Arabidopsis thaliana: one gene and its partner. The protein of the gene in region 1 purifies or fractionates together with the protein of each later gene. This does not show direct contact. Each region holds a gene or a part of one and is shown on either strand. Other genes may lie near its edges.

Region 1 (8,048 bases):
TTGTATTTTGTGTGAATACATATAGGCATATATAAATTACGAACTCATAGAAAACATGTACATTCGTCATATTAATGTGCAAGTAAATGAGTAATGGTGCATTAATTCGTATACAACTTGATTTAAAAAAAAAAACGATTTTTGTATAGATTATATGGGTTAAAATTCATTGTTTTCTGTAAACTCTAAATTAATTTTTGATCAATTTTTTTTGTAAAGATAGTATGAAACGATCATGATTTTCATAGTTACATGCATGCATATGGATGTACACTTGCATGTGGGTACGATTACATACTTGTGTAACTTCCAAAACTAACTTTTGGACATGGATTAATTTGTCAGGAGCAATAGACCAAACTAAACGACCGATGGAGTTCTACAATTTTCTTCAAGTAAACACGGATTCGAAGATACACGAATTGATAGATAATTCAAGAAAAGACGAAGAAGAAGATGTCGATCAAAACAACCGAATTCCTAACGAGAATTGTGTTCCATTTTTCGACTTTTTGTCTGTTGGAAACTCTGCCTCTCAGGGTTTATGTTAATTTGTCCGTACCACATGTACTATAAGGTGGACCATATGTTAATTAAAGATAATGTAGAAAGTACTAATCAATTAGAGCTCTTGTTTGAGCCAAATGTGAAAATTAGTTAAGCCATCCCAAACATGTTCTTGTATAACAAATATAAGGTTGTACTTTTCCACCTTTATCAGGTCTAATTTTCTATTTTTATTTTAAGGATGTTTAATCAGACTCATCACCATTCGGTATTTTTTTTTCTTCATATTTACAGAAATTCAATCAGACCAATCGATAAAAAGGATTGAGCAGAAGTTAATTTATTTTAAAACATTATTAAGTTTAAAGGTTTGTCATGAAACCAATCTTAAACTGAAATTCTGAAGTAAAACCAAAAATTTATTCCAAACTGGCCTAGTTTCACTTTATACTCATTTTGGCTATGGACTATGGTATATATTGTCTAAATTACAAGATGCGTATGTACTGAGAAAATTCTGTGTCCTGAATCCGGATTAATCTATAAATTATCGTAATAGAAGGACTTGAGAGTTGAGACCAAGATTTTATATTTTGTGGAATTTAATTTGCAATCGTCGGATATAATTTTTGTGTTGTTGCGTTCTTAAGGAAGATCAAATATTATAAGGTTTGATTATTAACCGAAGAAAATATGTCATTGGTGCCTAAATATATGTACCACCAAATGAACATCCTTTTAATACAGTACTACTTAATTATAATTTCATGCAGACTATTTTGACTCATATAACTTGTGATGATGATATCAAAAAAAGAAAAAGTTTTTTTTTTTTTTAAACTAGTGGTTTTATTTATGAGAGCCTTTTAACTTCTAAAATAAAGTTTGGTTTAGTTTCTTTAATTGTGTGAAGAATAATAATAAGTTAATAACGGAAAGACGAAATCGAGGTTGGAGTATAGATATGATTAAGTTGGGAGTAGTTATCAGCCACCAAGAAATACAATCAAAAGTAGCAATCTACCTTTGTCTAGCTTAAGAAAACACGAATAAAATAGTTCGTTTTATTTAGGTGGAGATGAAGAACACACATCTTGACACGACTTATAACCATACAATTCTCCATCCGAAATTAATATATGAATTTATATCATCGAGTTTTCTTTTTCTTTTCAATTTACTTTTTTCTGAAACTGATGTCATTATGATTGCTAGGGTTTCCTCGTTGAGTTAGATATGTATGTCACCTTGATTATTATTGTTTAAGACAATACGAAAGAACAACCCAAAAAGATAAGCATAACTGTATATACATATTTTATTATGGAAGATAATGAAACGAAACGTTGATCATTGTACAAAGATGTTGAATTAATCAAATTTTGGATAAGATTAAGACACCCACTAGAACAAGAATGTATTAATTTCTGATTGGATGTGTGTATATATTTCCTAGAATCACTTCATATGAAAATAATGACGCGAATCGTTGAATATTTTTCAGTGGTGACTAGTTGATTAATTGTTCAAAATAGTTGAAATTTATCAGATATAGATATGATAAAAGATCAAAATAGTGATAAGACTTTAGAGAGCGAGCATACAGAGTCAATAAAGTGCCGATAGATGCAAATGCAGATAGGATTAAGACTTGTTTTTACTTATAGCATCTTTTAAAAACACTCAGACAAGTTTGTGAAAATAAAATGATTATTCAACTGAAAATTTTCATTAGTGGTGTTAAAAAATCAATTATGAGATCATAACATCTTTCGTTGGCTTTGAATTAAACTTGAATTCAAAGAAAACATTGCGTCTTAATCCAAAAATAACACTGTCCCAAAAGTCGAGATTTTATTTTGATAATTGGTTGATTATACTTCAATAGTACATTTTATTCCAAAATGTGTCTTGGTACAATGAAAAAGACCATTATAAAAGAAATACATTCATCATCAACAGAAAAATGAAATTTTAAACCATAAACATCGGATCTCAGAGGAAGTTGACTGTCTTGAACTTGAATTCATCAAGCAAACTTTCGATGCTCATCTCTGGCAAGTCTTTACGGCCTTCAGGGTCCTCTCTGAGCCGAACTGTCACCTGAAAATGTTACAGTCCCAACAAAACAAAAAGATCAATCAATGTTTGAGAAGCTCGATGGTCAAAGAGATATGAATCATGAGAAAAAAGTGAGACACTCAACCTGTCCAGTTGCAACCTCTTTTTGACCTACGACCAGTATGTAGTTGTATGGTGCATCCCGAGCATCTGCCACCTACAAACACAACAAAATCATCACACTCGTGAACACATATAACTATGCATTTTCTTTGCAATTTCTATATATACATTCATATCTACCAAGAAAAAACGACTTTATTTTATAATGAAATTTAGACAACTAGCCTTTACGAGATAAAAATTTATGGCCTTAAATAATCTCACTTGTATAATATGCTCAAAGACCTAAACATTTGGAAAGCTTGTAATCATAAGAATTTACCTTTTTACGGAGGCTTCTGTCACTTTCATCAATATCAACATAGTACCCGACTTCATTAATCTGTTTTTGTACCTGTTTGAATGTACGTGCAAAGGAAACAAAAAGCTTAGAGATTAGGCACTGCAAGAATTGCAGGTGTGAGGGTTCATAAATAAAGAATGTAAGAAAACCTGTTTGGCATAGGAACTACAATCCTCTGAAAGAGAGCAAACTATGGCCTGGCGGGGACTAAGCCAGAAGGGCCAAATTCCTTTGTAATGTTCCAACAATATGGCAAACATACGCTCAATAGATCCCAACACCGCACTATGTATCATCACAGGTGCCTCCATTTCGTTTTTTTCACTTAGGTATTTCAGTTTGAAGCAAGCCGGAAGTTGAAAATCAAGCTGGTACGAAGCAAATAAGGATCAAAATCTTATTGTAAGAGATCAAGAACAAAAAACAGAGGAAAAAACTAAAAAGAGTTTGGGAGCCTAACCTGTATAGTAGCACACTGGAATTTCCTATTCCTGGCATCAGACACTGTTATGTCTATCTTTGGGCCATAAAATGCACCGTCTCCTTCCTTTATCTTCAGAAAACATCACACTTTAGAATCTCTCTATGAATTATAAAGTTTTGAGTAGAAGCATCAGAAAGTAGTGACACATACAACCCATGGCTTTCCAAAATCATCTAGAGCTTTTTCAAGATCATTTTCAGCTTTAGCCCATGTTTCCAAATCTCCAATGTGATCCTTTGGCCTCTGAAGTCGAAACCAACATGCAAACAATGAGATACGTGACCATACCATGCAAAGTATATTAGGTTTGGCAGAGAAGAAATGTGAAAATATCCTACCGTTGAAAGCGTTAGTTCATAGGTAAACCCAAATATTCTGTAAACATAGTCAATGAAATCCAACACACCCTTCACTTCTTCCTCAACCTGCAAATAGATAAGAATATTTCTATAAAATAAGAAACTGGGAGGATAAGGAGCTCCAACGTTGCTGCATAAGAAACAAATATCACAAACCTGATCCACTCTACAGAATATGTGTGCATCATCCTGAAAACAAGTATGCACAATGTTATTTAATTAAGCAACACGCGCACAAAAGGGTTAAAATCAAATTGACAAACTACTAAGTAAAGTAAAGTAAAGGGGTAACTTCTTCACTTCAACATGGCAAATAAGCTGCTTAACTAATCATGATATCATTTTGAATGTCGCTAGTCTTTATATAAAGCAATCAATTTTTAAGTTTTAAACATTTTACCACAAGAAAAGTCCAGAAAGATGCAAACATACCTGTACAAACCGTCGGACACGGGTCATTCCACCAAGTGCTCCACTGTCCTCATTTCGGTGTAACACTCCAAATTCGGCCATTCTAATGGGTAATTCTACATTCCATACCGCAAAACAAAAAAGATGTCAGCAAAAGATATATATGCAACACTTGCTTCGATGTTTGGAAAATGATTGTCGTTTAATCCCAGCTCGCCATAATAAAGTGAATCGTAATAGAAGCCCTGCAATAACAATTACCATCAGAGATAGCCCGTCTTTGCAACATTACAGATGAAATACCAAGAACCAAACAATATTGACTCCTCCTTTTTTTACTCTTTTAGCCAAAGAAACATAATTAAGGGGAAAAAACACAGAACAAAGCTCTTACTTCATCTCTGGGTTCGCAGGGTCCAATACATAGCTTGCATCCATACTCCTGCTCGAGAGCCTGGCCTAGAATGTGGGCGCTAGAATGCCAGAAAGTATTACGGCCTTGGTCGCTGTCAAATCCGAAAATCTCTAAGGAACAATCACCTTCCAGGGGCCTATTCATGTCCCACAAGACATGATTAACCGAAGAAACCAGAGCAGATTTTGCTAAACCCTTAGAAATCTGCACTGCGATGTCCATTGGAGAGGTCTCCCATCTCCTTCCTTCTTTCTCGATACCGTCGGGGAGAAGAGTAATCCTAAGCAGTGAAACAAAAACCAGAAATCAACTAATTGCAAAACCCTAGCTTAGCAAACAAATTGATGCACCCTAGTGAAAATGATGAACAATTAATCATAAACGTATTTACTTGATTGGATCGTGTGGCCGAGATTGAAGCTGCTCAAGCTGCTCGGCTTGGATTTCCTCGAAGAGCCTGATACGCTTGGGGATGACGGATGAGAGATAAGCCTCATCCTTGGGATGATGATTATTCGCCATCGATGGATGAGCAGAGAACGAAGGACAAATAGAAACTATAGAATATAGAAGATGACGTTGAGAGCAGAGGAGTAGATTATCCCAAGGTCAACTTCCCTTTTATAGCTACAACACTAAAGTGACTTGCGGGCCAAGCTTTAGAGCTTTTCCTTTCATTTTTTGTAATAAGGTAATAACAACAAGTGGCAGATGCACCTAACTTTACATAATTTCCTTTTGTATTTAAATAATTTTCTACAATATTTATAATTTCTTTTCAATTGAATTGTAGTTTTGTTGATAAAATGCAAATTAAAAGTATATGTATATAACCTATTTTGGCGTGACTTTCTTTGATTTAATGTTTCACATTTATATTTGTTGCATTCTCAATAATATCCAAATGACCATTATTAGGCCTATTAATGTGGAAGCTATAAAATCAGTTTGAAGTGGGCTTATTATTTGTAGTTTTGGGCTCTTAAAAGCCTATTAATGATGAAGCTAGAATCAGTTTTGCAACGTTCTCGGATGGTTTCGTGTTACAAAAATGTAGTCGGGTTCGATTTGGTTGAACCGGGTCTGGTAGACAATAATGTAATATTGGAAAGGAAAACGGTTCAGGCTTCGTGGCGATGAGCATCAACCATCAAGGCTTTGCTGGATGTCTTCAAAGCTCAAGAGTGCCAACTTTATGTATACGAGGATTGTTCAAATATTAAAACCAACCAAAGAAGTGGTCTTTTGATGTTTAAGCTTATCGTAGGATGTTTCAGCTGGACTTTGTGTCTCTTCTTTATCTCTACCAAAATAATATCTAATCACTCTCTCTCTTTTTATTTATTTAACAAGATTGTTTCGACTTAAAAGAGTCATGTAGTGACTGACACCTTTCCTATTTTTACAAGCAAGCATCATTTTAAAAATTTTAAAATTTACTTTTCTGGAATAGAAAAACCAAAAATAAGCAAAATCATTAAACTAAATTGCCCAAAAAAAGTTAAAAACCCAGAGAAATACTCAAATTAACCTAAACAATATCTCTTATAAAATCATTATTTCTAATTTGGTAGTATTCACAAAAGATATGCATGAGCTGATTTTGTTTGGAATCTCATACTAATGGTTGCATGTAAAAACAAAAACTAAAAAATCTTTAATAGTATTATATAGGAAAAGCTATAATCATTATACAAAAACTGTATCATCATCATCATCAAGCTTGAAATCACTCTCTTTCATCCTTCCCCGCGCACTGTGTCTCGCTCTCTCTCTCCCACATTTCCATTATCTCCTTTACTTTCTTTCTTTGAGAATGTCTTCTACAACAATCGGCGAGCACATCAGACTCCGACGAGCTAGAAACCAAACAATCCGTCATCTCCACGCCGCCGACGATGATCCGCCGCTAAGCCACGTCGTTCTTCCGATTTCACAACCTAATCGCTTCTGTAACTCCGCAATGTCTTCCTTCTTTCCCCTCCCGACTTCCTCCTCCAACGAAAGCACGAGGAAGAAACCGTACCAAACGTCGTCGTTTCGAGGGATGGGTTGCTATGCCGCAGCAGCAGCAGCAGCTCAAGAGGTTTCTGTTCCCTCCGTCATTCGCTACTCCGCGGATTTGGATGCCAGAATTAGAAAAGATAAGAAGAAGAAGAAGCATAAGCATAAGAAAAAGAAAAAGAAGAATAAAGGAAGCTACGAAGATGGTTCGATTAGGATTTTAAGCGAAGAAGCTAGAGACGTTATTGATGTTTGGTGCAGACCTGGATTAGGCTTCTCCACGGATGCTGTAATTGGTCGATCGGTTGATCCTCCTCGGGGAAGGAATATTCCGTCGTCTCGTCGCAAAATTGATGTGGATAACAACAATTATAATCACACACTGGTAAATTGATCTAAAGTTGGATGATGAATTTAGTGTTATTATGTTATTGACTTTGACTTTGAGGAAATGGTATCGTTTAGGCAGAAACTGTGTGGAGTGGTTGGAGCTCTAGTGGTTGTAGTTAGCTCTATGCCAATTGCTGGGCCATTGTTAGTTTGGTTTGGTTTATTAATATATGTGTTTGGATTCTCGTTTAGACAAATCATAAGGGTCTACTTTAGATGTAGCGGTTCTCTATTATTAGTTTTTGTTTCATGTGAGGATAATATAGAAAATTTCTTTGTTTGACGTGCGGGTGGTTCTTTTGGGTTTGATGCTCAATAAACTAATCGAACTCTGGTTTGGTTAGAGAATGGAATCTTATCATGCTTTTGTCTCGTTTAGCTAGAGGATGGAATCTTAGCATTGTTTAAGTTTCTTTTTGGTTGGATTCAATTGGTTAGGGGAGTTGTTGGATTTATTTTGATCAAAGAAACGCATTGCTTCAGAGGACTTGAAAATTAGGAATCTATCATCATGTCTAAGTGTTTGAGAAATGATAACACAATGCTACAAATGTTCTGCAGGGTTCTTCTGTTCTTCCCATTCGGTTTCTCAATCAAGAAACTCATTCTCATGATATCTTCAACTCTGATTCTACTTTTGTGACATCATCACGCGCTGAACCAACGATGTTGTCAAGTAGATGTCGTGGCCATCTTCCACGCTCTTACCCTGATGATCTTACCGAGGTAGAATGTTCTTGCCAAATAGTTGCCTTGTCTTTCTTGCATCTGGTAAATGTTATAGATTTGACTTCTTAGTTTATTAACTGATCACACTCAACACTATGTTAAGGTTTGACTTGTCACTTGGCTTCATATCAACTAAGAGATTATTCTAGAGTTGTCTCTTACATATTCTAGTGACTGATAGAGTGGAAGACAAATAATGTAATCGTTCTCTTTGGTGCTGTA
Region 2 (8,001 bases), on another chromosome or scaffold:
AATGCTTTGCACGAAGCCCAAATTCTTTGTCAACAGAAGAAAAAGGAGAAGGATGAAACGAAGCAGGTTCTTGCAACTCTTCTACCTGAAACATCACCAGAATTTTATGTAGCACATATAGATATCCTAAGTAAGCTGACGGATGACGACGACATTTTAGCTTCCATTGGTAATCTCTTCTCAGGGGTCCTAGAAGAGGTTAGCTTCTAACAGCTCCTAAATCTTCCTTTTTTAAACCTGTTAAACCCTTTTTTAACCTAGGACAATTCCTTTTGCTGCAGGTTGCTGAAACTGACTCTAGTATCCTCTTGATTGAAAAGTCAAGGATTGCTCTACTTGGTGAGCTCAACCAACTAGCGTTTTTTGACTACAGATCTTATGTTGCTAGACACCTCAAAAAGTTTCTGTTAACCAAGCTCTGAGTGAGAGAGGTTTTTTACCATATTTGATTTGTGTTTGAGTGAGAGAGATATGTTCATTTTTCACTTTTTACAAACCAACAAGTTTAGAGTTACCAAATATTGATTTCTGACTCAAAAATAACTTGGTCTCTGTGAATGTGTGTTGTTTTTGCTGCTGGTTTGGATTAGTGCTCTTGCTATAGCTTTGAAAAGGTCTCGTTATGATGATCTTCACTGAAGTTACACGACTCTATAGCTAGCTTGGAACTATGCTTGAAACAGTTGATTTCATTTGTTGTTTAATCTCAAAACTATATCTATATATACATATATGAAGCTACGGATATTTGAAAACATATACAAAACACTAGGACCAACCTAACAAGTCTTTAGAGAGTCTGTCTCCACTGATCCAACCCTAGCTTCCACTGTTGAGATTCTTCAGAGAGAGTCTGTCTCCACTGATCCAACCCTAGCTTCCACTGTTGAGATTCTTCAGAGAGAGTCTGTCTCCACAGATTCAATGTCCGGAGCATTTCTGGTTCTGCGCTGTAATCCCCAGTAAAAGACAATAATGTGTGGCTGCTTTGTAATAGGTTTCTCTTAGTTCCCAGTTTCCACAATACATAGATATCTTCCCAGATTTCTCCAACCAACAGGTCTTTGTCACCTTCTTGCTTCTGTTGTTGCTAGCACACTCACCATTCTTAGGCAGCTGAGATGCTTTCAAAACCGATGACTGGATTCTGCCAACTGGTCCCTGGAAGCAGGAAGCTGTTGAGATTCTGCAGAGAGAGTCTGTCTCCACAGATTCAATGTCCGGAGCATTTCTGGTTCTGCGCTGTAATCCCCAGTAAAAGACAATAATGTGTGGCTGCTTTGTAATAGGTTTCTCTTAGTTCCCAGTTTCCACAACACATAGATATCTTCCCAGATTTCTCCAACCAACAGGTCTTTGTCACCTTCTTGCTTCTGTTGTTGCTAGCACACTCACCATTCTTAGGCAGCTGAGATGCTTTCAAAACCGATGACTGGATTCTGCCAACTGGTCCCTGGAAGCAGGAAGCTGTTGAGATTCTGCAGAGAGAGTCTGTCTCCACAGATTCAGTGTCCGGAACATTTATGGTTCTGAGCTGAAATCCCCAGTAAAAGACAATAACATTTGGCTGCTTTGTAATAGGTTTCTTTTAGTTCCCAGTTTCCACAACACATAGATATCTTCTCAGATTCTCCAACAGGTCTTGTCACCTTTGTAATAGGTTTCTTTTAGTTCCCAGTTTCCACAACACATAGATATCTTACCAGAATCTCCAAGCAACAGGTCTTTGTCACCTTCTTGCTTCTGTTGTTGCTAGCACACTCACAATTCTTAGGTAGCTGAGATGCTTTCAAAACCGATAACTGGATTCTACCAACTGGTCCCAGGAAGCTTCCATTGTTGAGATTCAGTGAGGTGTAATCCCCAGTAAAAGACAATAATGTGTGGCTGCTTTGCTCTGATGGGTTTGGATCACAAAAATGCCATAGACTTCCTGTATTTCAATAACATGTGGAACAAAGCAAAGGCTACAGTCACAGACTATGAGACAGAACACAGAAGATTTCGTATCCCCAAAGAGTTGAACCAAAAGATGGGAAGTGGGTAACTTGATCAGAAGACAACGGAAACGTGACTTAACCCAACCACTGAGATGTTCCTGATTAGCAGCCGAGAGGTGTACATGTGTTTGCATACGGATAGAGCTCAAACAAAATTCTTCATTCTCTGCAGAAGCCTGAGATGTTCTCCACGCAACCTGCATCATCTGTTGCAATTTCCAATAAGCTAGTTAGCCTCTGTGAAGCATTATGTCGAATAGGTGATATGCAACATTTTTGTTCTTGACACTTGGTGACCTCCTCATAGTAATCCGAGCCAATTCCGATGTGGGTTTTTCTTCGTGGTGAATAAAGAACCTATCAATGCCAAAACCAGAGAGTAAATCATCAAAAATTAGGACATGTGATTGTGACTGTAATCGAAATCCAATGGTGAAGAAAACAAGTCCACGATGCTCCTTGAAAGATCGAATTCTCAATCTTCTGTTGTTGGAGAACACAAATCTGTCGCTAAGGTCAAAGCTTTTTCCTCCTCCTTCGATTGCTGTTCTAGACATGATGAATCAGAGTCTGTAATCGTTACTTTCTGTGGCTAGGAGCAGCGAATCCTGACCGTTGGATTGGTTTTTCTTTTTCTTTTTAATGTCCGTGATATTATTGTCTGAAGAAGAAAGAGAGACCAGTTTTGACTTTTGACTTCGAGTAATGAGAAGAAAAAGCACAGTGAGATTGCTGTTCTTGACGTTGAGTCAGAGTCTGTGGCTAGGAGCAGCTTCTTTTGTTTTTTGAATCGACAATGGTTGAGGAATAAACGAAATCCTGACCGTTGGATTTTTTCTTTTCTTTTCTTCTACTTAATAATGTCCGTGATATTATTATTGTCTAAAGGGGAGACCCGAGAAAGAGCGAGACCAGTTTTGACTTTTTGGACATTGTGTGTTTTCGATTCGATCTTTTTTTTCTGAAGGTATGCTTTTGAATTCGATTTTTTTTTTTTTTTCTCGAGATCTTTGCTTCGTGGTGTTTCCTTTGGACTTCGTTTGGTGATATTTCTGGGTTTCGTCTTTTGACGTTTTTTTTTTCTTCTCGATGAAATGTTTACTCAGCTGCCAAATTTCTCTGTTTGATATTGAGTGAGAGAGATTTGTTACTTTTTACAAAATCAACTAGTTTTAGGTTACCAAATTTGGTTTCGGTTTCGATGCTTAAACAATAACTTGGTGTAGTCGGTCTCTGTATGAATGTGTGTGTGTGTTGTTTTTGCTGCTGATTTGGATCTGTGCTTTTGTTATAGCGTTGAAAATGCCTCGTTATGATGACCTTTGAACACGGACTCGTTATATGCTAATTTGGAACTTTGCTTGAAACAGTTGATTTTTATCTGGATTTACATTTGATGTTTTATGCTTTTATCTCAAAACTCTGTATATATGAAGCTACGGATATTTGACCTCTGATATCCTATTTTGAAGTCTCAGCCTTGAGTGCACCACCTGCATGAGGATGTCATGAGATTTTTTTTTTTAGTGGTTTTTGAATCTTGTAACTACTAGTTGTTTTGGAGAAATTATGAGATTGTTCCTAAAATGTTTGGTAGCCCTTGTAATAAAGGTGTCAGCTTTGCTCTTGGGAAATGTTTTCGTTGGTCTTAGATGTTGGTAAATGCATGTTGCAGTTAACAATGCTGGTACTATCAATAAGAACACCAAGATTTGGGAAGTCTCTGCTGAAGATTTTGACAATGTCATCATGGTTAAAGGAGTAGCAAATGTGGCTGCGCCATTTTATCCCTTTGATGTTCCCACGGAAGCAAGAAATTACTGTAAATATGTCTTCTGGATGGTGGAAGATCTGGTGCTGCCCTGGTGAGTTTCATTGTGACTGTAATCCCCTTCATAGCCTGAAACCTCTACTCTGGTGCTGCCCTTGAAGACTTTGCCTTTGTCGTAAGTACTTCCACTTCATAGCCTGAAACCTCTACTCTTTCTTTTCCAGTGTGACTGTGATCCCCATGGATGTCTCTGTCCTTGAGGATCTTATCAGATAGAACACACAAAAAAGGTCTGTTTGGTTCTTGTCTTTTCTGAAGCTATATCCTCAAGGTCTTCTTAAGAAAGGTTTATCTTTTGTGAATTTGATTGTTTTCAACTGCTCATTTTTTTGTTTGTGCAGGTGATGGTTCCTTCTACGTGGCTTGGCACTGGGGAAAATTGGACACTGATGAAGACAATCAGAAAACTACGAAGACGGTCAGTTGATGTTTCACCATAGCTGAGTGTTTCTGTTTGATTTGCTTTTTTCTTCCATTTCTAGAAAATGAGGACATGTGTTTTGTATGGGTTTTCAGGAAAGTTCTCCAAGAGTTAAGGTGTTGGAGTGTTTGGTAATGAAGTAATAGATACAAATATACCTGTCCAAGTATGGAGATACTACTTGCTGACCAACAGGCCTGAAGTAACTGATCGCTGCCTTCTAGGTGTTTCTTCGTTCATCATAGGCATGCATAAACGTGTAAATGTCACCAACACTGGTTTGCTCTGGGGACTCTGCCTTCTAGGTGTCTGACACATTGTTTCCATGGAATGATTTGCAAGCAAAACTGAATGGCGAGTTTCTGAACAACCTAGGCAACTCTGTTAATCGAGCTCTGAGTTTTATAGCAAAGCACATGATAATGCAGGTTGGTTATACTTACTTTCAAATTCAATATTTTTAAGTATTTGGTGTTACCTGTAGATGGCTTTTTAGTTTGGCATATCCAAAAGAAAATATGGGATCTGTTGTATTCTTTTATTCAAACCAGCCAGTTGGTGTGTGCAAGTGAGAGATATTTGAATCGCAGGACATCAGACTATTGTAAAATGTTTGCTTGCGATTTTTGGTTTTCAATCTTTTTTTTGAACAAATAGGTAATTTAAAAACTTGAAAATGATAGAAAGGTGCATCTGGCTTGCAAGAGTCTTTACTATTATGATTATCCTGCTAAAGCTAATGTAACGCTCTCTGATAAGATTCCTCTCTTTGTAAGCTTATATGGACATGGAACGATTAACTGATAGAACATATAAAGATCGTTATACATGTATATGTATATCTGTTCATTCATACACTCTAGTGGATGGTCAAATGTTTGCATTTGGGATAGCATAAATGATCAAATTCTCTTAGAAACAGTTGAGTAATGTTATATGAATCTTGGCGTGGTATGGCTATCTGAGTTTCTGTGCCTGCTTTTTTAGGTTCATAGTAATGTTATATGTTGGGGTCTTAAAGGGTTTATCGATTCTCTTTTCATCGTTGTGTCACATGTATGATTCATCTGGGTCTCTACTTCAAGCAAAGCAAAGACGACGATTCTTCCGGATCCTTTAAAACCAAAGAACTATGGTAAGAGATTTTCCTACTGAAATTGCTTTTAGAAGAACTGCTGCTGGTTTAGTACACCTCTTGTGAGGTCGGTTTGATTGTTTATTTCGAAAATTTTGTTTCTATTTATTTCTAGAATGCCAAGTGTGATTAAAGCTGTCTATTGCATTTTGTAGGTATTTAAGCAGCAAGTAAACCATGGTAGATAACTATGGCAAGACTTGATATTCTATTAGGTAAAATTGTGAAGGCTGAGAAACATCCTAAGGCAAATGCATTGTATGTAGAAGAAATTGATATTGGGGGTGGTGAAATTAATTACCGCTTGAGGAAATGCAGGTTTGTCCAATCAGTCTAGTCATGTGTTTTCTTCCCAATATCATTATCAGTATGTAATCCCTTCTACATTCCAATTGATCTACTGTTGTTTCTGAACAGAACCGTATGGTTTCTGTTCTTTGTAACTTGAAGCCGGCTACAAATGAGGGATATTGTGTTACAAGCAATGGTTCTTGCAGCTTCCAGTAGTGAGGAAAGCAAGGTAGAGTTCACAGGACAGGAGTATCTGAACTGTTTGTAGTTCCGCTATGTTCATTTCGATTGTATAGCAAATTGTTCTTTGCTGGAAACCCTGAATCTGCTAGTATTGGAAAGCGAGTTACATTCAGCTTTTAGCAACCATACAATTTGAGATTTTAATTCTTTTGTGTCGAACTAATTGATGTTTGTCTTCAATTTTTTTTAACTCTTCTGACTGTAATAACAAAGACAGTTGGTCGGGATATAGGAGAAGACAGGGTGGAGAGAGAGCTGATGGGCTTAATTATCTCTCACAACTTCTAGATGGGCTTTCATAAGTTAAAAGCCCATTATGATTTAGTTGGGCTATCAACGTAAACTGAATTGTGATTAGAAAAAAAAAGGAAAAAGATAAACCGAATAATTATGTATGACGTATATGCCGTTGATTTGGAATACTGTATGCAAATCCTGACCGTTACATGTTTAATAATTATGTATAACGTATGCCCTTGTTTTATCGAACGTTAGATTTTTCCTCTGATAAGAGTGTGCAAGGCACGTGACGACCGAAGAGAAAGTCATGTTGGATATTGTATGTCACATGCATGAGGATCCAGTCGCCATGAGACTGAGATTAGGGAGATTAGATTCTAAGGGATATATATGTGAGCAAAGATTCTAATCTCATTTGTTCTTTTGTTGATTCATTGATTTCTTTTATTTTTCTTTGTTGTTCATTGATACAATTGTTTGATTTGATCGTCGATAACCGATAATAATTAAGAGATATTTGAGTTTTAAAAAGCTTATCACACTCATTTGCCAATTATATTCTAATTGCCGTCAGTTCAATGCAAAGGTAAATACCAAATTGGTTTCATCATGCTAGTGAATAGTGTCGATGGAGAATGTTAACACTGGTTATTGATCAACAGTAAAATACAGATCTAGCTGTTGCTGCATATAAGTTTTAAGTACTTATCTTATTGCATCGTAGGTTTCAGTTTAGTTACGATACTGCTTAGTTTCAACAATTCAATGCTTGAGATTTTGATTGTAATGATTAGTTAGACAGAAATTTATATTATGAATGTGTATTAAAATTTTAGTCTAAAGGCTTGACTAGTAAGTATGTCAGATTAATAAGTGAATTATGAAATTACGTAGTCAATAGAGGGACAACAATTTTAAGCTAAAAGATATTAATTTTGTTTAAAACCGAAAAAAAATATCTATTATTCTATTGATGAATGGAATTTTTAAATTTTGGTTTAATTTTAAAACGTGCATGGTAAACTGAAAATTCACTTGGTACGTATTTTTTACGTACTATTATTTAACACAAGTTTTAAGAAAATGTATGTATTTAGCGGAATCACATTTTCAAAACGTAGAAAACTGCATAACATTCAAGGCTAAATAACACAATACAATGTAGTATTTTTAGCAATTGCTTTGTTTGAGCAAAATGGAGACATTATTGTTGCGAGAAAGTGTTTCAACCATGTCAAACAGCTCTTCTTCAAACCATGGTGCATCACCATTAAAGTAGATGCCTCCCAACCAAACAACCATCCTCTCTAGCGTCTTTGCGTTTCTCAGCACCAAATCCATAAACGAAGCCACGAGTTTCAACGTTGCATCATTACAACCCAACATCTTGTAGATCTCCTTTGAGGTAGGAAACACCTCACATGTTGATCTCCAACATTGATCCGGATATAAACCTTTTAAATGATGCATTTTCTGTAGAACATAAAAAATTATCCTATAGAGAATAAGCTCATCTCCAATATATTTTTCAATTAGAGTAACTCAAAAATATAGTAGAGTTTTTTTTTTTTCTTCAATGTACCACTCTATTTTTTTATTTTTATTTTAAAGTGCAAAAAATAGAGTTACTCTAAATGTAAAGCAAACATATATTTTACTCTATTTTAGAATGGAGTTGTAAAGAATTTTGCTATGTAATAAAGTTTAGGGAAAAAGTAGAGTAGACTTGGAGATATACCCTTGGTAAAAATATCAATCCTATATCCCAACGAAAGTGAAAGACATGTGGTTCATGGAATGTTCCTAGTGCGTTATTAGTATGCATGGTCTTATATATAAA

Evidence for each region. Proteins that work in one complex are often made in the same cells at the same time.
Region 2: the proteins of AT1G17960 (region 1) and AT5G02680 fractionate together in Arabidopsis thaliana (co-fractionation; one large-scale study listed by BioGRID). This does not show direct contact.

The regions. Positions count from the first base shown.
Region 1 is NC_003070.9:6,178,513-6,186,560, forward strand, and holds AT1G17960 (Threonyl-tRNA synthetase), read right to left. Parts: upstream 5,295-8,048; 5' UTR 5,226-5,294; coding exon 5,095-5,225; intron 4,984-5,094; coding exon 4,683-4,983; intron 4,534-4,682; coding exon 4,461-4,533; intron 4,405-4,460; coding exon 4,310-4,404; intron 4,067-4,309; coding exon 4,034-4,066; intron 3,944-4,033; coding exon 3,857-3,943; intron 3,762-3,856; coding exon 3,669-3,761; intron 3,588-3,668; coding exon 3,495-3,587; intron 3,403-3,494; coding exon 3,184-3,402; intron 3,086-3,183; coding exon 3,014-3,085; intron 2,786-3,013; coding exon 2,714-2,785; intron 2,611-2,713; coding exon 2,503-2,610; 3' UTR 2,353-2,502; downstream 1-2,352. Other genes in the region: MYB52 (myb domain protein 52), read left to right, coding at 346-551; AT1G17970 (RING/U-box superfamily protein), read left to right, coding at 6,520-7,092, 7,659-7,823.
Region 2 is NC_003076.8:602,050-610,050, forward strand, and holds AT5G02680 (methionine-tRNA ligase), read left to right. Parts: upstream 1-2,868; 5' UTR 2,869-2,967; intron 2,968-3,675; 5' UTR 3,676-3,865; intron 3,866-3,995; 5' UTR 3,996-4,015; coding exon 4,016-4,061; intron 4,062-4,172; coding exon 4,173-4,249; intron 4,250-4,347; coding exon 4,348-4,383; intron 4,384-4,557; coding exon 4,558-4,680; intron 4,681-5,140; exon of another isoform or gene 5,141-5,249; coding exon of another isoform or gene 5,250-5,372; exon of another isoform or gene 5,373-5,387; intron 5,388-5,542; exon of another isoform or gene 5,543-5,616; coding exon 5,617-5,705; intron 5,706-5,804; coding exon 5,805-5,835; 3' UTR 5,836-6,144; downstream 6,145-8,001. Other genes in the region: AT5G02660 (ubiquitin carboxyl-terminal hydrolase-like protein, putative (DUF627 and DUF629)), read left to right, coding at 1-198, 282-422; AT5G02670 (uncharacterized protein), read right to left, coding at 922-1,242, 1,364-1,534, 1,704-1,933, 2,071-2,197, 2,288-2,557; AT5G02690 (uncharacterized protein), read left to right, coding at 5,250-5,372; AT5G02700 (F-box/RNI-like superfamily protein), read right to left, coding at 7,332-7,634.